Lepisosteus oculatus: one gene and its partner. The protein of the gene in region 1 interacts with the protein of each later gene in a pairwise test. Links are inferred from orthologs where the notes say so. Each region holds a gene or a part of one and is shown in the gene's direction. Other genes may lie near its edges.

Evidence for each region.
Region 2: the proteins of map1aa (region 1) and rho-related GTP-binding protein RhoB interact in a two-hybrid assay, tested with the Homo sapiens proteins (2 studies listed by BioGRID and IntAct). The link is inferred for Lepisosteus oculatus from reciprocal best matches to the Homo sapiens genes MAP1A and RHOB.

Annotation. Positions count from the first base shown.
Region 1 is NC_090700.1:49,653,743-49,664,870, forward strand, and holds the start of map1aa (microtubule-associated protein 1A), read left to right. Parts: upstream 1-6,260; 5' UTR 6,261-6,346; coding exon 6,347-6,596; intron 6,597-11,128. UniProt on the Homo sapiens protein: Structural protein involved in the filamentous cross-bridging between microtubules and other skeletal elements.
Region 2 is NC_090697.1:25,686,647-25,697,843, reverse strand, and holds the start of rho-related GTP-binding protein RhoB, read left to right. Parts: upstream 1-7,191; 5' UTR 7,192-7,393; coding exon 7,394-7,984; 3' UTR 7,985-11,197. UniProt on the Homo sapiens protein: Mediates apoptosis in neoplastically transformed cells after DNA damage. Not essential for development but affects cell adhesion and growth factor signaling in transformed cells. Plays a negative role in tumorigenesis as deletion causes tumor formation.

The DNA of each region.
Region 1 (11,128 bases):
TTGTCCTTTAAAAAAAAAGCTTGTACTATAGTTACATTTAAATTAATATATCATATGTCAAATATTTAGATGGAATATAATTTATTGAATGATTTCCACATGCGGAAAATAGGCACATCAGTAAACACAATAGACAGACAGATCAAAAACTGTTTTTGATGTGGCTGTCATCTGTACTGTATATTACACATTTATTTTTGTGTGCCGATCAGTGACAACAACTGTGGGAGGCTGTATTTAGGAGAGGGGATATTGGATCAACGCCTCTTTCACCCAAAACAGCGTTTATGCCCAACATTAGGTAAATTATATTTCTTAAAAATTACAACTCTGCGTCCCCATCAAAGTAACTGATACGAAGGTGTGCTCAGATTCAAACTTGTTTGTTGATACAAGGTAATGGAAAGGACATGCATTTGATGGAAAATTGATCTATTTCTGCTCTATACCAGTAGGTACTGGAGAGATGTTAGGCATTTTGAAAATTTCACTCAAACGGATCTAATATGAGCATTAGCTTTCAGAACATTGCCGATATACCACTTTAATAATGGCCAAAAGTAAGTTAATATTAATAATGTTGAATTCTTACGAGAAAACAGTAACGTTACTTACAAATCGCTATTAAAAAGACCACGTATAGTACTGTATATAAACAGTTCACACTCAAGGACCCTACTAATATTAACCGGTAATTTAAGAAAAACACCCCTCGTATAGCCCTGACCCAGGTGGAGAGGAATCACAGCAGCTGAACGCTTGTATAAGCTGATATCGTCGGGACCAGAAATTGTCAAAACGTCGTTAAACGAGCCTGCCCTTGTAGTCACATCACCCATGTCACTACATTCTACAACGCTGCCGGGGAAAGACAAAGACCGATTCCTGGCACTTAAGCCCCTTCCCTACCACCAGCGCTTAAGAAATAGCAGTCTTACCTAGTAATGGCGATGTCTGCTTTTCGATTGATGCTTTTTTTGATGAGGATTTTGCCAAAATTGGCAATGTGTTAATTTCGTCTGCCAGGTTCCACTGTCTTTAACAGCGCCGCTTACAATTTCTCTCTCGCACTTTGCAACTCTACCAGAAACGCTGGGTGTGGGAGACATGGGTGCCACTTAAAGATGCAATGGCATTTTTTGATGAGCGCGTATATGCGTGCGACTAAGTATGTTTGTGTGTGATGTACATGTGTTGTTCAAAGGCAAGACTGAGCTGCTCCTTTCAACACGGATGAGTGAAAGATGGTTTTGTTTTTTTTACCCCAAATCCGTCTTTCGTCTCTATCACCTGAATTTCACAATTGCTGATCAGACCAGTGCTGGTGTGGGAAAAAAACATACTCCTACCGAAGAAATGTGAAGTTTGCAAAATTTACATTTTTGTGTTCATTTTGTGTCTGTCCACATGAGAAAAACAACTAGCTAAGGACCACACTGTTTTTACTTGTTTCTTTTTTGTTGATTAACCCACAGCTACAGATGTGCTATGTGTTTATAATAATTGTCCCCTAAGGGACAATAAAAGTTTATCTTTATCTTATCTTTTTGGTGAGTTATAAGTACATTAGCAGCTGTGCCCACGTGTGTAGTGATGTGCCTTGTGGATGGAAGACTTAAATGTTTGCACAATCCAACTTATGATCTATACATTTGAACATTTTAGCCCCAGGAACACAAAAAAGCTACATGACTGAAGATACTGCATGCATCCTTAAAGATCTGCAACTCCCTGTATCTTGAATAGTGCTGGTAATGTCTTACAGGGCCTTCAGACGTATCTCAGAATGTAAATACAATCTGACAGATTTTGAGCCAATAAACATGTCCGTATCCTCAAACTACATTCAGCTGAGAATAGATTCCTGATATTGTAGTTAACAGGGTTCTTAACCACAACAAAGCCCCATGAAGTGGAGGATGAGCTGCCACACAGTTGCAGAGATGCTGTGCAGTGGGTCCTTGAAAGTGTGGGAGTGCTGTTTCTTTAAAGGGAGGCAGTGGAAATGGGTGATGAAAACCAATGGCCCTGATCACCACTCTGCAGAGCTGGTACAAAATATGGAACCAATATCCTCTGCAAGGTTGCCATGGAGATGTGCTGAGACTGTGAGAGAGTCATATTGCTTCCTCATCATCCATTAAACAATGAAAGAGGGCGGGGTATGAGAGGCAGCACGAGAGCCGCACAAAGGTAGATTCACACTCTCCTGCACCACATGAAAGTCAAAATCTCTTGAAAGGCTTTACCCAGGATGGAAGCCAAACTGGCTAAAATTACACATTGAATGCCAATTTACTGTACTGTATGAACTATATGTTACACGTTCATGATTTTTGTGTGTGGCAATTTAGGGTGGTCTTCAAGTCACTCTTGCATTTGTAGTTTCACATAGTGTGTGAGGCTGAATGTCAAAAATTGTAATCTGTGAAGCAAAACTAATCTATGGTCAATAAATACTTAACATACTTAGGTGGGTACACTAGGATATGTGATTACATTCTTAAGACCTGCTTGCAGGATCAGATTTAAGCAGCTGTCACAAACAGCTACACTGACAGCTGTGTCATTTCTAAGGGAGCTATTTATAGCAGAGCAGTAGTACAGTATATTGTCATACAAGCCTACTACAATTATTTTAGGTTATTAGTTACATGCTATGGGACTCATTAACAAAACACTGACAAGACATATAAAACTGTTTGACTGCAGGAATGTGCATGTCTTAATCTCTAAAGTAAAGAAACTGCTTATTACTTGTTCAACTGCTTGTAACCTCAGGCGAATGTTATAGGGAAGGAATCTTTTTCCTTTTTTTTCAATTTCTGTAGGGGTGTAACCTCATGGAGGAACTACTGTATCGTGTCAAGTGACTGTTTCCCAGTAAGTTAAAAACTATAATAACAGTCGGACGTGTTGTTTCTCAAACCACCACCTGAACGCTTTGGGGGGAATGCTTCTTCCTTCAAAAATAAACTAATAGGCATTTATGCACAATGCACATTTTCAATTGGCCAGGTAAGGCTTTCATTCCTGCATGGGATGCTTCTGCTTCAAGGAGAACGAAATTCATGCAGCACAATTAGCTAGAAACATTTTAGATTTCCAAGGAAACTGATCAAATAACTTCACTTAGCACTTATTTGCATTTGGACTGCTGAAAATCATGTCTGGTTTGCCTTTACATATCAGCTCTACACTGAGAATTTCTGGTAAAGAAAAATAAGAAAGCATTCCCTGTATGCATTTTGTTTTCAAAAAGAGTACAAGCCTTATGTTTATTGTCCATCCTAAATCATTTAAACCTAACCCCAAGCTTTGTACTGCCTTCATACCCAGTACAGAAAAAATACTCAGAGACATACAAGAACCTAGCTCTTATTCTGCAAATGCTTTACAATGCAATTATATTAGTTTTCTTGCAAGTAACATAATGCCTATTAATTCACCACTACTGCTTTTACTTCTCCTACTACTAATAAAAATAAACCTCGGAATTTCCTCAAATGAATCACATCAGCGCGTGTGTATCTCGCCAGTAGGGAGCAGTAGAGGGTCTTGTTAAGGAAATGCTAAAATGCGGCGCGCTGGGCTGCTGAAGTGCTGACTCACTGAGGCCAGCAGGGACACCTGGGAGAAATACAGGAAGCAGCGCAGGCAGGAGAGGTCATAGCCGGCTGGGAAGCCGCTCATTCCTGAAGCCGGCTCGGCCCCTTTCCTAGGCAGCCAATGAATCAGCTTTTCGGAAGCAGGACAGAAGATTCCAGCTGATCTATTACGATACAGGCATGATTTTCAAACAATCCCTTTTACTTTACTGAAGAGACTCCCCATTTGCATTTTGAGTTATAACATATCACTGTTACATGCACATTGCATACAATGTGTGTCACTGTGTAAGTTACTGTCTTTAGAAGTGAATATCTGCTTTCCACCCTGGGCATGAGCTCTCAGAATTCAATGCTCTTCTGCAGAAAGGAATATAGAACTAATTTAATACACAGATACAGTGAACTGCAATGGAGCAGAATCAGTTGCACAACCAGTGCAGCATATCATAGTAGAAACATCATTAAAATGGCATTTAGTCATATCTAACCATTACTGTATAATTATCCTTTTCCAAAAGAAAATGCTTCACCCTGTTTGGATTTGCTGGAGAATAAAGTACTTAAAGTTAATATCATTCGGACCGTGATATTAACTATGATATCAGGCAAAATAAGGATCAGAACTACATATACTGATATGGTGTTACATTTCAGATCACAGTGGTGCTATCCGATAAACTCATCTGAGCCCCTTTCTCCTTCCCCTTGTGCCTCCCATTCTCCTTACCTTTTCTAACCTGCCTCTCCTTCTCTTTCCTGACTTTATTCTCTGTTCTTTTTTTCCTTCAATCTGTGTCCATAATTCTGTTTCTTTCTCTGTCTGATTCTGTTTTCCCCCACCCCTCCTCTCTCTCTCTCTCTCTCTCTCTCTGGATTATTGCCCAGATAGAGCTGATTGCTGCAGTGCAGTGTCATTCCCTGGAGAATAAGTGGATGTGTGGGATATCTCCTGTTCTCCTGCTCATTTTGAAAACAACAACAATAATAATAATCACTCTTTCTCCCACTTTATCTTTTTTTTAATTTCCCAGAGACATTTGTTGAGTATATTTGCTTTGACCTTGAGAAAGTAAAGCTCTGCCGGCCGTGTAGCAAACAACACGCTTGGATGAAAACTGCTTAAACTCAGGTTACACGTTGGTTGCTAGCTTTGTGTGTATGCTGTATACATAGACCCTCATGCCTTTAAACAAAAGAGCAAAAGTGATTCAGAACATTCTTCATTGTAAAACAGTCTGGCTGAACGTTTGTCTACATTCTAGGCTCTTCAGATGTTGAATACAAATGAGGGGAACCGAACGAGTGCCGACTCATCTCTGCAATAACTTAACATCAGTAGAGACAAGATGATTTCAGGATGAGATTTATTGCTTCTTAATAATTAAACAACATGAATCATGGATGTCACAATGGCCCAAGAGTGTGACATTGAGAACCACACTTCCCAAGCTAAAAGTGGGGTCATTAAGGTTGCTGCCATTGTAGATGTGTTACAACAGACTTTGAGGCCAGTTATTAACGTAGAACCTGTTTCGAAGGGATATACTGTAGTTAGAGGCAGAATATACCCACGTGAAGAGGTAACCGGAAGTATACTGAAGCTACACGTAATTGTATCTTCTTGTGAAAGTATTTTTCTATTTTTACCTTCTGAGAAATGACCGTTGATGACTCTACTCAGATGATGACACGGCTCGTATTTACTTATGCGAGACGGAGGCCTCGTGATTTCGGTGTGTATTCTGCACCGCCCAGGTGTCTCTGACATATTCCATACTTACCGACACCCGCATAAACAGAAACAGATTGAAGTAAAGGCACAGAGCTGACATCAGCAACACGGATAATGAAAACGATCTCTCCAACACTGTCAGGGGTTGTTTAAAAAATAATTTAAATAAACCCCAGCGCAAGAACTAATGAAAGCCGGCCACAGCCCCGTCTGATAACCCTACTGGGAGTGAGAGTTTGGCGTATTTCGAGAGCTGTGTCAGCATTTCTCACAGTGTGCTGTCAACAGTAGCTCTGATGCCCGACACAGAGGGTCTGTAGCCTACAAGGTCACGCTTTGGGTAAAGGAAACGTGTGCCAGGCTCTTTAAGTGCTGTTCTATGGTCTACTGGCGCTGTCCTTTAGCAAACCTAGACACAGCTGTTATTTGTTTACAGTACCTCCCCCACTGTGTATGCCTCTATGGCTTTAAATATGATAGTTCTATTTGTGCCGTGAGTGTCTTAATAAAAATATATGAATCCTCGCATTAAGAGTGGTTTATCTAAAGTGATTTGAGAGGAAATAACATTTTACATTGAACAAAAACAATTTTACGGGAACAAATCATTTCGAAAGATCCATGGGCAGCAAGCTAGGGTTACAGGAATAAAATTAGAATATGAATAACAAAATTTGGTTGATTTGAGTTAGCATAAATTGCTCCAATTCCTAACTGCGGATGAATTTGATCCTTACAACCTAAACGTCATAAATTTGTCATTTAAGCGCAGACCACGACACGCGGATGCAATCAATATGTTGTATTGGAAGACGTGGGTTTACTAGTGTTACGAGGAACCGCCCTCTGTGCACGTCTATTGGATGACCGTGACATCAAACATCCGCATGCGCCAGTAGCCAATCACAAACGAGCAAATGGCTCTTTAAATGTGCAGTGCGCCCCTCCCACCGGGACCTCCCCTAGTTTTCCGTCTCGCGGAGAGCTCGTGGCAGCAGTTGTCATGGAGATGGAAGAGGGGCCGGCGTCGGCTCTAGGTGCTGTTGCCATGGAGATGGCGCGGGCTGCGGCAGAGAAGGACGAAAGCGGTGCGCATCTGGGACTCCAGGAGCTGCAGGAGCCGCTTCAGCACCAAGGACAGCAGCAGCGAGCGGCGTCACTGTTCTGCCAGGGGAAGTATTACATGCTGATCGTAATCGGGGAAGTCGCAACAGAAAACCAGCTCCGAGCCGTCAGAGAACATACCGAACTGGGTGAGTCTGCAGGAATGCCCTCGAGTTTTATCGCGCTGCACCGCTCTATGCGCAAGTGTGCTGGAAAGGGTGTCGGGGCTGCAAAACATACCAGGAAGAAGAATCAAGTTGACGCAACGTTAGCCGAGGGAACACGTGAAGGCAGATCCTTGGGTTATAAAGTCTAACTTTCACCAAGTTCAAGTTTTTGCAATGATGAGAGAGGGCTAAGTTTAGCTGGTTTAGGCATCTGGTGCAGAAGAAACAAGAGAAACTCAAGTCAGTGAAGTCTCCAGGGTTTTCTGAATTCCGACAGATTCTAAGCAATTGGAAAAAAAAAGCCATATTTTATCCTGGTCTACCATATCACGCCTTGTTTTTTAAAAAAAGAAAATGTAATGCAATAATAACTTATTTAATACAGCCCAACCCTGTTAGCCCTGTAGAGGCAGAATCTCCAGAAAGTTAATTCATTTCTAACATTCCCGATTGTTTCCAAACTGTAAATCAAACTGTCTTCAAGATTCAAGATTTTTTATTTGCCATATACAACAAGTGTATTGGAATACTTACTCGTTCAGCTGTACCCAGTAACAGTAGAGAAGGAAAAACAGGCAGACATGACAAACAGACATGGACAATAAATTTAGACAACAGACGTTATAATACAGCCAAGACAGGACATAGTGCAAACAGTGCAGTACCTAAAAGCGCAGGTGGTAATTTGAGCTGTTTATGATACGGACTGCTTGGGGAAGGAAACTGTTTTTGAATCTATTGGTCAGTGTTCTGATACTGCGATACCTCCTACCAGAACCCAGGGGTGAAAACAGACCGTGGCCAGGGTGAACTGGGTCCCGAAGTATACAGTAGCTCAAGCTCGGTTGTGGCAGCGGTCGAGATATATCCGGTCGATGGAGGGTAGCTCGGTCCCAGTGATTTTCTGCGCGGACCTCACAACCCTCTGTATGGCTATTCCGTCCTGTACTGTGGCTCCACCTTTCCAAACCGTAATACCACCGGTCAGGACTGCTAGCAACGTCTGGATTTGATATACAGCAAGACTGAGGACATAGGTAACCAGACGATTCCACTACCTTAACATTCTCACGAGATCACGGATAAAAACAACGCTTACAAACGGGTAAACAAAATGCCAATGACGCATCCGTTAGGATGAATTCACGTGAAGCAGAAACGATTTAAAATACTTCGTAAGGCACCGAAAAGTTCCCCAGTTCTGCCTCCAGTTCTTCAGTTCTGCCTTCGGTGTGGAGGAAAACATCGCAGAGCAAGGGAGCTGATATCCCTGCGCAGACTTCATAACCAATTCACATTGCGACGCCAGCCGTCAGTCGAAAAAATTCAAAGGCCGAGAAACAATCCCTAAAGGCCCAGTGCTTAATAAACAAATAATACCGCTGACAGCAGAAATATATAAAAAAATATTTATATTTATATAATATTGCGGAGAGGCAGCAGTCCACTTTGCACTGTTTGGAGTGATGAAATGTTTAAGGATGGGGAGGGTTCCACTGACTCCATGCTCATTTACATTTCACCGCTCATAAAGGCTTTCCGGTACCACAAACCAAACAATCCACTTAAAAAGCAGGGAAAAAAAGAACGAAAACATAAGAAACGAAAGTCGAGACAACGGAAACGCAAGTTTCCTATAATAGGAAAATATGAGAGCCTAGTGACATACTGTATGTCCCTGCTTTGCTTGGTAAGTCTATTATGTATACAGTATATTGTCTGTTATTTATATAATAAAATATGATGCCCTTACCATTTTTCTCCTGCAGAAGGTTTACACTGAATAGGTTTCTGAGTTCATTTCAGCAGATGTAAGTCATGCAAGAACTCACCTAAAGCAACATTAGAATGATAAATATTCAAGTCTGAATCGCATATCATCAGAAAAAAAGCACTATTGGCAGTGTAAAGCAACACTGTATTGTAGGCCTACATTCAACAACACATAAGAACAGTTTTGGCATGCAAACAGGAAACTTAATTTAACTTAAAAACTTAAGGAACTTAATTAAAACGAAAAAAAACCCTTTTAATTAATGTACAAACATTGTTGGTACCAGCGGGGCATTGACACTTCATTTGAAACATGCAGTCTTTGTTTCTTTGTAAGGTCAACACACAGGCCTCACTGTTGTCTGTACGACGATGCTGTAAAAATCACTCAAGGAATATAGAGTCAATTTATGAAATTCCCAGATTTTCAAAACACAGCGTACAAATGAAAATCATTATTTTAAGACATCCAAATAAAGTGCTTCTTATAGTATGTACAATAAGTTGTGATTGCATACACTGGTTACAGTAAATAAATGACTCGTTATTTATAGGTCTTGCTATTGTCTGACAGAAACAGCATTTTATTTTACAGTATGGAGAACCAAATATTTGTGTTAATTTTTCAAACATAATTTAATTCATTATAGTTGTAGCACCAGGTGTTATTATTTAAACAAAATAGAATAAATATAGGATAAAAAATAGGAACATTGCTAAGAACGTTGATAAATGGCACTGATTAACACATTTTATAATATTATCAACAATTCAGCGATTCCTGTTCCAGTGTCTCTGTTGCAAAAAAGCTCTGTGTTTCTAGAAATACCTTTAGTTTGCAGCTTGAATCTTTTTATAACGTTCTGTAGAACTCTATAAGTGTTTTAGAGGTTGAAAAACCTAACAATGCAAAACAAAAACAATGGGATGAATTAAAGAAAGAAAAATAATAATAATAATAATAATTGCTTACACTTATATAGCGCTTTTCTGGACACTCCACTCAAAGCGCTTTACAGGTAATGGGGACTCCCCTCCACCACCACCAATGTGCAGCATCCACCTGGATGATGCGACGGCAGCCATAGTGCGCCAGAACGCTCACCACACATCAGCTATCAGTGGGGAGGAGAGCAGAGTAATGTAGCCAATTCATAGAGGGGGATTATTAGGAGGCCATGATTAGTAAGGGCCAATTGGAAATTTTGGCCAGGACACCGGGGTTACACCCCTACTCTTTTCGAGAAGCACCCTGGGATTTTTAATGACCACAGAGAGTCAGGACCTCGGTTTTACGTCTCATCCGAAGGACGGCGCCTGTTTACAGTATAGTGTCCCCGTCACTATACTGGGGCATTAGGACCCACATGGACCGCAGGGTGAGCGCCCCCCGCTGGCCCCACTAACACCTCTTCCAGCAGCAACCTTAGTTTTTCCCAGGAGGTCTCCCATCCCGGTACTGACCAGGCTCACACCTGCTTAGCTTCAGTGGGTTGCCAGTTGTGAGTTGCAGGGTGATATGGCTGCTGGTCATATCATAAAAAAAACTATTTTTTTATTTTTATAAAAAAATAGTTTTTATAAAAGCTGTATAAAAGTAGTAATATCAACATAACCTCTGCAATATATTATAATATATAACACTAATTAAAACAAAGCAATAGTAATATTTAATTACTAAATGATGAAAAGCTTAGTATTTCTGTTAATACGGGGATCAGAGACACCTTAAACTGTGCACAATAGAAAGACATTCACGCAAGAGAAATGGCTATGATACCAAAATATATAATAAGATCAATTCCTCTTTTTAACGGTTGTGAACTCGAGACACTTAAGTTTCCAGAACATTTTTATGATTTATAGTAAGCTTCTTGGTGCCTGGATAGTGATAAGCAAGAAAGTCCAATCTTCAAGGCCTCGGTACTTTATTTGTAATCAGGAAGATCTTCAATCAATATAAGGGGCTCATTTGATATGAGTAAATAAATATAGACAGGTAGATTAGATTTATAACAAATTCAAGCTATTTATGGTGTAGTTTGCAATTCCAATTTGGAAAACGTGGTCCTGTCTTGAAGTTGTATGAATAACAACTGCAATATATTTGACCTTCAGGCATCTGTGTGATTTATTGCCCTAGGAGAATGCTCCGTAAAGATTTTGTTATGGAATTTCTTTAGCAGGAATTACCTGGGAGGGAGGAGAAAGTGTAAAGACAGGAAGAAATGGTTAGAAGGCAGGTAAACTGTGCCGTGGTGTGGATGCCGGTGGTGTTGTCTTATAAACACGGTGGCATGACTTTTGCTCTGCGGCAGTCTCCAGTCTCTGCAGTGGTGCCTGAGGCAGATGGGCAGTGCCGTGGTAGGGTTGCTGTGTTTGTCACACAATTGCTGAGGGACAGAAACCTCTCTGTATGCAATTCTGCCTTCACTGCGTACCTCGCCATGCCAGGAGCCTCAGGGTGATGGATCACTGTTCTGGCATCAGCCTCACTCCCACAAACTACTTGGAAGCACTCAGACTGGCGCCCTGTAATTTACAGCGTGACGGCTGTGCCAATGACAAACAACAACAACAATGGATTCATCTATGCCAGCGCAAACACAGCTTTATATCCTCACAGTCCTCGGGCATACCAGTAATCAAAAGATTGAGCTAATACCTGTTTATCTTTCAAAAAGGGGTTTATAATGTAGAGGCAAAGTCAGAGCTCAATCCAGGTCAAGTAAGATAAAATG
Region 2 (11,197 bases), on another chromosome or scaffold:
TATTTGTATAATCTGTCCCATAATAATTCTGATTTTTAATTTAAAAAGTTATTTAATCCTATGTTCTTCTCTTTATTGACTTGTTACAAAGTTACAAAGCAGTATATACATGTTTCATCTTTATTCACTTACTATTCCTCATTGTCCTCCATAAGCCAGAAGTTAACTAATAAGTGGTCTCAACACACTCTCTGGCAGGTTGAGCAGGTGCTGTGCTGCGCAGTCTGGTCATAGTGAGATCTCTTTGAGTCTCTTACTTTGCTTCAATGTACCGATCTCTTTGGACCTCTCTTTTCCACTTACTGTACATGGAAAGGACATGGAAAAACATGTAAACGACATGCATATACTACGTCTACCTGATTCAGTCAAGAGGCATAATCTCCCACTCGATACCGTCAATGCATTTTTTCATGATTTCTTTCACCACTTCTTCATAACTTCTTCTGTCCTCATCTGGTGTATTTGCATTGGCTAATTTGGGAGAAGAGAAACTTCTTAAGGAGCCTAGAGTATTGCATCTGGATGACATGACCTACAAAATGGGACTGACGATGGATGAACATCACAATGTTTATGATGCCTGCTTGGAAGACAACATTGATATTTGTTTGTCAGTTTACCTAAGGGATACATAAAACCCTCCATAACAGTGTTTAAAGAGGGATATGATCCTTGCACTTTTGAATATCCCCTATATGTTGTCTTTGTTTCAGCCCTGTTCAGTAAAGTACTGTAGGAATGAGGACTGCTTTGTAGACCATAAGTTTGGTTTCACACTGAGGGTATTTGAAGTTGTATTGATCTTTAAATACCCTCTTCCTCAGGGTGTGACATAATACAGGGGTGTGTTCGGTGTGGAGGCGGAGCCCTGGATTAAGGGCAGTGTCTTGCCTTAGCAACCACAGCAGCCCTGGCTAATTAAGGACGAGCCACAACTGTGGGAGCCCTTTAAAACCCACTGAACTCCTCCCCAGAAGGACGAAAATCTTCCAGCGACAGTCCAGGAAGGGAACTGTGACAAGAGCGTTTGAGGCTGCATTTTTCCTTCATTTTATTTTCTTTTTCTTTTCCCCTGTCCCGCTGTCCAGCTGTGTACTGTATCACCCAATCTAGAGAGTGCACTACATTCTTCATGGATTCATCTTCTGAATGTTAATTGTAAGTTCTTATGTGTATCAGGAAATACTGTATGTTGACAGCTGTTTGGATATCCACACTAGTTTCTGCCCAGTTTCCATCCTCGGGTGAATGTGACAATCATTACACTTCATCTTCAAATTACTGCTCTTAAAAGGCTTAGCATTTACAATTGTATGACTCCTGGGTGAGTCTAGAAATAAACTCCCCAGAAGCTCTCCAAACTCCAAACTCTGACTTTTGGGTTTTTCACAACAGTTGAGCAGTAATGTAATGCTGCAACTCTTACCTGACTGACAGCAGTGGTCAGAGGAAATGAGGTGGACCCTAGTGAAGATGAATTCAGGCAATAAGGCTGATGAGAGCAGGGAGGCAGGTGGGCAGACAGAGAGACATAATCCAAAGTCATAGTTGAAAGTGAAGCAAGGCTCGAAGCCAATAAGACTGGGCAAAAGAGCAAACAGCAAATCCATGTGTAGTTGTAGTAAACAAGTTAGGTTCATAGCTAGGAATAAGCACATGCATCTGAACCAAGGTCAAGACAGAGTCAAAACACCAGACAACACAGGCAAAGCAGAGGTGAACCAGAGACATACTCAGAAGCACAAGTGTAAAATGTAGCTGGGAGAAACAGGCAAAGCATGAGAGAAACTAAGCATTGAAACTAAAGTAAAAACTCAAACACTGAATGGGAATGTGACATGGAGACTGGTCTTAAATATTCTGCTAAATGAGGTAAGTGACTATCTCTTGGAACTGATCTTCTTCCTAATTGTTTTCATGACAACTGGCTGATTGGCTTCAGTAGAAACTCAACCGGTTTTCCGAGGTGTTTACAGTGCTTTGACCAGCGCTCCTGTGGGAGCTGGTGTGACAAGTAACATACGGATTTATAAAGACGGACAATGTTTTGCAACTCTTTGGCAAATTGCAGTGTTGGCGGTTTGCCGGGGCAACACAGATGCAGCTCTCCACATGGCTAAGGATGCCTCTCACTGTTTTGGAAAATACAGACTGAGACCACGACCAGTGAGTATCCCTTAAAAGTGTTGACTAATTTTGCTATGTAGTATGAAGTTCTCTCAGGATGGGAAGATACAGTACCTGTGGCTGCAAAGGCAATGCATTAACTCAGTGGTTCTCAAACTGTGGTACACGTACCGGCAGTGGTATGTGGCGTGCCGCCAGGTGGTACGCCAAATGACCCTGGAACTGTGTTGTGTGCGCTGAAAAAATCGGGACGGGTTTTCATATTTTGTACTTTTATACGTGTCGAATACGCAGCCTGCGTACTAGGATACAGTGCGCGCTAATACTTCAGTGGACACAAGAGATACTCTGTAATTCTATACCACTCTATAGGAAGGCGTGCTACGGACGCAAGTGACCAATTGTATTTAAAAAAAGCTACTGTATCTCCAGCAAACAGGGAGAAAGGAGAATGTGTGTGATTTTGGAACAATGCCAACGTTGTAAACACAGGAATGCATAGAATTGCGTACTACGAACGCAGGTAATTTTGTGAGCGCACGAAAGGGTGAAAAATAACAGAAAAATATTTAAGAACTGTTCTAAGTTAATTTGAGAAAAATACATCGAGCGTCTTTGTGTTTCTCTCCCATGCGCATGAAATAAATACTTAAAATAAACACTGAAATAAAAACGGAAACGTCGAAAATGCAAACTTGCAGATTACTAAAGCAGGTAAGCCCCACACTATTATGTGTGGAGAAAAAGCTGATGAACAGCCCGACCTGCTGCCCCCCCGAAAGACACAGTCATTCATAGAATTATTGAAATGAAGGATTATATCAAAAGTACACTGACAGAGCGCGTTAAGATGAGCAGATGTTTTTCACTGCAATTAGATGAGTCTGTAGTCGATTTGGCCAATTTGCTCGTTTACGTAAGATACGAGTTTGAGGGTACGTCCCGTGAGGACTTTCTGTTCTATAAGCCGCTACCAACAGGAACTACAGGAGAGCACATATTTCAGCTTCTGAATGAATTTATCGAAGAGAATGACATCGACTGGATAAAATGTGTCGGAGTTTGTACAGACGGTGCTAGAGCAATGACAAGCCGACACAGCGGTGTAGTTGCACGAATTAGAGAGGTTGCTCCAGAAATTAATGGTTTCATTGCAACATCCACCGCGAGACCTTTGCCGTCAAGAAAATGCCTGACGATTTAAAATCTGTTAGATTGCTTTGCTCAACTAAACAGGCTCACCCCTCTCACTGAAATGGTGCTTTTTTTATTTTTATGTGTTGTTTTTTTCTGTAAAACACTTTGAGAAGCCACATTTTAATATATCAAACAAAGTTTATTATTATAATATTTATTATATGTATGTGTGAGTGTGTGTGCACATGCGCTCATGTTGGTCATTGATAATTTCTGGGGTTCCTATGAGATGATGACTTGTAGGTGGTACTTGGATACTTTGGTTGGATTAGGGGTGGTACTTGGTCCAAAACGTTTGAGAACCACTGCATTAACTCATTTTTAAACTGTATAAGACCATTACCAAGGCATGGTTTTGCATCCTGACCAGATGCAAAAGATATGTTGGTCTTCTGAAAGTAGGAAAATTCATCAGGAAATCACCTTCACAAAAAGTATTGGCTCACTTAAAGCATGCTTCTTGTATGCTGTCAAAATTTCAGTCAATTATAAAGCCTTATAAGTTTGCAGGTTTAGCCAACTGCTTAATAGAGCTTTGTTGTGCTAAACTTCACTCTCCAGAAGATGGCAGCAAAACAAGGCCCTTCAGGATAATGATCATCGGATTTAATGGCCCAGGCATCTTCCTTATCTGCAATATTTGAAAATCACACACGAGTACACACTTAATAAGGCCCTATCTCCCTAGTGTGGTAAATGAGGAAAGACATGTGAGTTTATCCCTTGGGTTGGGAAACAACTGCTCTAGTGCATTTATCTTGTAAGATATAGCTGCAACATATAAAATCAATGTAAACAGAAGTGTAAATGAAATGGTTTTGCTTATTTGATTTTCTATTGGCACACTCTAAGGACATCAAAGTGCTGAGTTCGTACTCAGATTCGAAAAAAAATGTATATTTAATAAAATGTATGGATTGGAAGCCATCTAATAACGTGAGGACAAAAAATATTGTTTAAAAACTTCCTTGTGCCTTAGGAGTTTTCTCTGTGAGGATGACAGAAGGGTGTAGCTAAGCCGATCACTCATGACCTTTCACAGAGAGACGCTCCCAAACCACGACACTGGCAGGGACAGGAGGGAGGAAGTTTCTGTTTTCTTGTAAACACCTTCACATGAAACCTGAGAGAAAAACACTAGTGACAGCCTTAAAGGCAGATGACTTTTTCAAAAATATTTTCCTTTTCATCTTTTCTTTTCCAAGGTTGATCCTTAGGGGTACAAGCCCTGCCTTACAGGCTAAACCTCAGAGTGCAACATGTGATTGTTGTTAACTCAGCTCTTCAGCAGCCCAAGAAAAAACAATGCAGCATTGTGAGTAGTCCAACATGTTGAACTTTGAATTGACCTTTCAACCTCATGGCCTTAAAAGTGGAAAAGGTGTGTTATTTCAACATGTTGCTCCTTGCTGTCTGAGGGCACAGCATCCTTTTCAAACCTCACCAGAAGTCACGCAAGGGTTTGCTGAGTGAAAACTAAAATGAAATACTGTATAGACTAGAACTAGATTAAGATCCCTCCACTGTTTATGCTGTATTTTCAGTAGTGATGTCTGATTGTGAAACCCACACTTTAAGGAAATACATATTACTGAAATATAACACAGTTGATGCATGGAAGATTACACCATAATCAAAACTAATCAGAGTTAACACAAGTTTCTTTTCTGTTTTTATATTAAAAAATAATGTGGATATTAACTACTGAGAAATTCTAGAATTAGAAATACCAGTTGTTTTTAAACACTATATAAAAGAAGAAGGGTATTTTTGAAACTTGATAATCCACAGCGTTAAAAGCACCCCAGATTTCCCTGATTGAAAAAAGCTGTTTAAGTTTGGATTTTTTTTTTCAGGCTGTCATTGAACCTTACGTTTATGCTCTTTAATCAGTAAAACTATTCTGTTTCACAGAACTTATTGAGATGTGTGGCTCATGTTTTTTTTTTAATGAGCCTTCTGTCTTCTTTTAATTCTGATTATTCTCTATATAAATAAATAAAAAAAACCTTTGCCATTCACGTTAAGACAGAAGAAGCTCTCTAGGTATAATGGATGAGACATGAAGATTCATGAGGAATGTATGTATTAAGGAATGAATACTCTCCCCTCTATGCAAATCTCATTTCTGTGTTCTCATATTTATTTTCCTTTCACAGTTTATGTGAGAACTAGGCTTTTCGACCAAGTAGTGAAATCATCTTGTTTACCCTGATCAATGCTCCCCAATGTGAAATGAGTTGTTGTCACAGAACAGCTTCCATTTATTTGGAATCCATGGTATGGACTGTTGTATGAAACTGGTGTTACAACAGGCAATTATGATGTCATATCTTCCATTCTTTATCTAGTGTTGCATCCCTAACACCTTTTTACGGCAGAGGGTATTTTTAGAAACTAAATTCTTTCTCTCCGCCTCTTACTCATTGTTTTGTTCAGTTAAGACATATGAAATCCCACTGAAACTGAATTTCTGACTAAACACTAACAGAAATTAATACAATATTTTAAAATACAAATTATACAATGAAAGTAATAATGAAGGAATAAGAACACATTTACACATTACGTATGATATAAACCCATAGGTAGGACCAAATAAGAAAAAAAACCCAATATGTCACGTGGTCTATATAACACTACTCGAAATCAAACTGCAAAATATTTCTGTAATAATGTGTAGTAATGGGAAACACCTTTTTGAACGTTTGAATTGAGCAAAGGAAAGGTTTCCACAAGGTGTCACTATTTCCTCATTTCAATTAAAAAATGAACTTGCGCTAGTGCTCAGCTGCAGTACAGTTTATCTTGGAAGTCCAAATAACGCGCGATGATGTAGCATAAATAATATATGCTGATTAGTTATTTTTGTTTGTTCACCGCCAATGAGATGAGTGAGACACGGAGATTAGGTTTTGTTCCCAATTTCTACAGAGCCCGTCTAGAGCTGAACCACGGCACGAATCTCAGTACTGTGTTTAATGGTGAAGAGGGGGTTGTGACTGTTCTTAATATTGACCTATTGCTGCTTACAGGCCGCAACTGTTGTTCAACGGGCAGGAGGGGAGGAGGAGTACAGGAGCTGAATATATCAAAGCCATTCCTTGATTTATTGTTATGCATTTTCATACATACATGTATCTAAGTTGTGTTTACAGCTAGTGAAGCCACTTCCACGTCTTTTACAACGATTCGGTTTTTTTTCCATTTTCAAATTCAAGGAAAAAAACGGTTCAAGTAAAACCGTTGCAAACAAAAAGAACAATTTAAGCAAATTTTACTTTTTATCTTTTAATTATCATCATTGAATTAAAAATATCTTAGACTATAAAGAGGCAAATAAATATAACGCAGTATCTTATCTAATTATGACTAGAACACGTTTTAAATCTTTTAACCAACATAGTTCAAACTTAGACTGAGGTTCCCATATTTTCTGTTGACTCTTTAAAACACTGCTAAAATAGCATTCAAATCTTCTATCATCTTACCAATACAATTCAATCAAACTTGCAAAAATTGAGAATCCTTTACCCCCACAAATCTTACACGATATGTAAAGCGTCGTGAGAAAAAAAAAACAATTAAGGCAAAGCGATAAGTGACGAATCACATTTCATTCAAACAGATGCATCAATCTTATGCTTTCCACTGACCACCACATATCCCCCCAGTCTGCTGCTCACGCCTGCGCAGACCCCGACATTGAGCTCATCCCCCGAACAGCGCGTGAATCCTCGTGGTGAGTAATTCATTCCTCCTAGGTCGGGCTAGTGAGGAGGCAGAACCAATCACGTCGGCCATCTAAAATGGTGACCTCACCTATCTCTCTCCCATTGGTTTGCTATATTAAGAAAGCAGTCCTAGTCTTTAAAACCGGGGGAAGTTGGTTTTTCAGCAGTGGCTGAAATAAGGCAGAAAGAGGTGGTGGTGGTGGAAGATTGCAGCGCTAGCTCCAGAAGTACAGTTGCCTTTACGTGTTGCAATAAGCTGATTTTCCGTTTGCACTCCGCTGATTGCTTCGTGTTTCACTCCGCGTGTAACCCGACAGCGTTGAGGAGAAAGAATGGCCGCTATTCGGAAAAAGCTGGTCGTAGTCGGAGACGGAGCTTGTGGGAAGACCTGCTTGCTGATCGTTTTCAGCAAAGACGAGTTCCCCGAGGTGTACGTGCCAACGGTGTTTGAGAACTACGTGGCCGACATTGAGGTGGACAGCAAGCAAGTGGAGCTGGCTCTGTGGGACACTGCCGGGCAGGAGGACTACGACCGCCTCCGCCCTCTCTCCTACCCCGACACCGATGTCATCCTGATGTGCTTCTCCGTGGACAGCCCGGACTCCCTGGAAAACATCCCCGAAAAATGGGTGCCGGAAGTGAAGCACTTCTGCCCCAACGTGCCCATCATCCTGGTGGCCAACAAGAAGGACCTGCGGAACGACGAGAACGTCCGGAACGAGCTGTCCAGGATGAAGCAGGAACCGGTGAAAACGGAGGACGGCAGAGCCATGGCGGTGCGCATCGGGGCTTACGACTACCTGGAGTGCTCTGCCAAAACCAAGGAAGGGGTGCGGGAGGTGTTCGAGACCGCCACCCGGGCCGCACTGCAGAAGAGATCCAGACCATCCGGGGGCTGTTTGAATTGCTGCAAGCTTTTGTGAACTGTGAAGGACAGTCGCTGCGTGACACGAACTGAAGGAAAAAAAAATCCCTTATTTTTTAAGCGGTAAAGGTTACGGGACAGGCACTCTCCAGTTAGTCTGGTGCCGAGATTTAACAAAAGAGGGGAAATAAACCTCAAGATGGGACTGAATGAGACTTGCCTTCTCTGCACTCGCGTGACCGAGGACTCCAGGGTGTCATGCGGAGCTTGACCCCTCGGCAGAACTTGCATTAAAGACCAGACTATTGACGTTTACTGTGATGGTCAGTTTTTGACGGTGGGTTTTGGGGGCGCTGTGCTAAGGCCAAAGCAACGTAGGTCTTGAAATCGGGGTGAAATGATCGGGTTTCTTTAGTGGCGGTGTCTAATCTGTGGGGAATTCTGTTTATTTTGTAAATCCGACCACCGTCAGTTGCATTAAGATTGAGACTGAGGGGGCGAGGATCCCCCCCCCCCCCCCCCCGGGAAGCAAATTGCATTCTGAAACCACTTTATAAAGAAATTGACATCTTAATAATCCCTAGTTAAAAAGGTGGAAATTAGGCTTTTTGAGGTGATTTTTTTTTTTTCCACCCACGAAGTGATTGCATTGTACCGTAAGCGAGAGGAGATGCCTGTCTGAAGAGAAAGCGAGCGGGTGTTACCTCTGTTGAAATGGTGGAGAGGGAGGGGGACTGCGGGGTTTTGTCCTGCAGGCTGATGATATAAAAAAATAACACCCCGCCTTCGCAAACAAGGTGCCTGCTTTGTTTCAGTCATGATGAAGTGGCTGCTTTTGCTGTTTTTTTTATACTGGATGTAAAGAAAGGAAGAAAAAAGGCGTCAGGTTTTGGAAAATGATAACCTTTTTTTATTTCTTGTTGCACAATAAGGTTTTCGATGCCACAGCAAGGCACTTAAACATCAGTATTGTAGCATTCTCCGAACTTCACACTCGTGTAACTTATTGTATGTTTGCTTCCCTGTTGCTCCGCTACTATAGTAATGCTACTAGCCTGATCCATTAAACCACAGTCGTTTGCGTATGAAAACCCGGCACCGTTTACTTTGGGATGATGTATATTTCATTGTTGCACTGTGGCCGATTTCAAGGGCTTGTGCTTCTGAGAAAATGTAAAAAAAAATTCAGTGGCGGCACTGGTCTTTGTGTAAAAAATATTGTATTTCTTTCTCTGCTACAGAGGAAGCTAAAAAGTCTGTTTTGTTGTATGATAATATTTTTGTACGTCTTTAAAGCAGTGGTACAAAGGATGTTTGTCTTTGTTTAAAACTAACTGAAAAACTGAAGTTCCAAGACGTATGAGATGTTTACATGAATTCATATTGACATAAGCTGTGTATACAGTTTTTACGAAAGAAATATTAAAAGTTAAACGTTTAATTTAAAATTTCTTCCTTTTTGTTTTTAAACTTTATTTAATGACGCTTCACCTTTTATATCTCTGAATACAAATGTCAATCACAGTGAATGGAAACAGACTACTATTTAAAAAAACGATTTCCTTTAGTTTAATTCGGTATGGGCGTTAGTATTGTAACACTCAAGAGAATCGCGCTCTCAATTCAGAAAGCCGAATCGATTACGATTTAAAGGGTCTTTGTCTCTCAGGGTGGGGTCACTTCTCACTAACGATTCGAGCTTCTTCTGGGTCTTAGTGCTGTAAATTCCATTGCATTTTGAAGTCGGGCATACGTAAAGTCAGTTCATGATTGTCAGCATTTTGTAATTCTATAACAAACAGCCGCACAAGATGAACAATTGGTACCGAGTACAGACGCTGCTTTTTTTTTTAATGGTTTCAATCCCAGTATGGTATTTTTCTCCCCTTTGCTTTCCCCTTGGCTGTTGTGTGTCTGTGCTTTTCATGCCTTGAGGGAACAGTTTTTGTTAGCATTAAGGGAGAGCTCGCTAGATTGTAGTGTGTGGAGTCCGTATTCATCTTCCCTTACTCAGACGTAAGATGCTATTTTACACCTAAAAAATCTGGTTTTGATTGCCTGACATGTCTCCCGTTTTCAATTCTGAAATTTACAAAGCTTGTTGGCTATTTGCTTTTCATATGGCACATAAAAAGCCACTCCTTTATGAAGTTGTCTGGATTAGTAACCATCCATATTCAGTAGCTGCTAGATTTAATACTGGGTTCTGCGAGTTGGATCCTAACCAGGTTCAGTGTGAGTACAAGACTGATACACTTTGGGTGGGACACCAGTTCATTACAGTTAATATTTGCTACTCATTAATATAAAATGGCTTTTATGCACAGGAGTGCAGGCATATTTAATGTATAATATAGTGAATTCCATTGTACGGCAAGAGTGCTCAGTGGGAATTCTGTTGTTAAAGTGTCTAAATTAAATCCTAATTAAAAATATTTGCTGTTTTGAACAAGGGCAATCTAGTGTATGAGAAAAATACACCCAATATTATATGAAAATGCTATTTCTGACACTTCTGGAGTGCAAAATTCTCTTGTTTTTTTTTCTCTAGGCCAATCATACTTCGTTGGAACAGCTGTGGGAATCATTCCGGTCTGAGTGGGCTTAGACAGGGGAGGAAATAAATCCTTTCCCATGAACTTTGTTCTAGCCGTTGTTACAGAGGGGAAACATTAGTAGGCAGGCAGACTAGGCCTTTGCAGTGTCTTTGCTGCTGGGAACCCAAGACCAGTGTGTTAATCTGCATTATATGGGTTAAAGACTATTGCCCATTGGCCTTTGTGTTGGAATGCAAAACACTTAAGTGAATTTGCTCAAGTTCAGCTTTCAGTTAGTATAATAAATGTCTGAAGCTCACATTGTGGCTCACTAATTATTCCTGTTAATTTTTCTCCTGGTTTGGTATGCTTTTCCTGGCAGTAATCTCCATAATCCTTTAACAAACATGCTGTAGCACTTGGATGTATAGGCAGTGCCAATCAGAACATGGTGTTTGTGATTTCATAAATGTTTTGGAAATGGAAATCACCTGGTCATTGAAAGTCACTTCATGCCATTATAAAAGGACTCTTAATTTGGCTTTGTATCACCAATTTAATTAATATTTCCTCATTCTTTTCTGTAGTATATCCTGATGTTAATATCTTGAAGACTAGGGTAGGGAAAAAATCCCAGAGGCCTTGTTTTTACAAAAATTCTTCCAAACAATTTTGAATATTAAATATTTTCCCTTTAGCACTGGGTTGTACTGATTGTTTTTTTTTTTAATTTG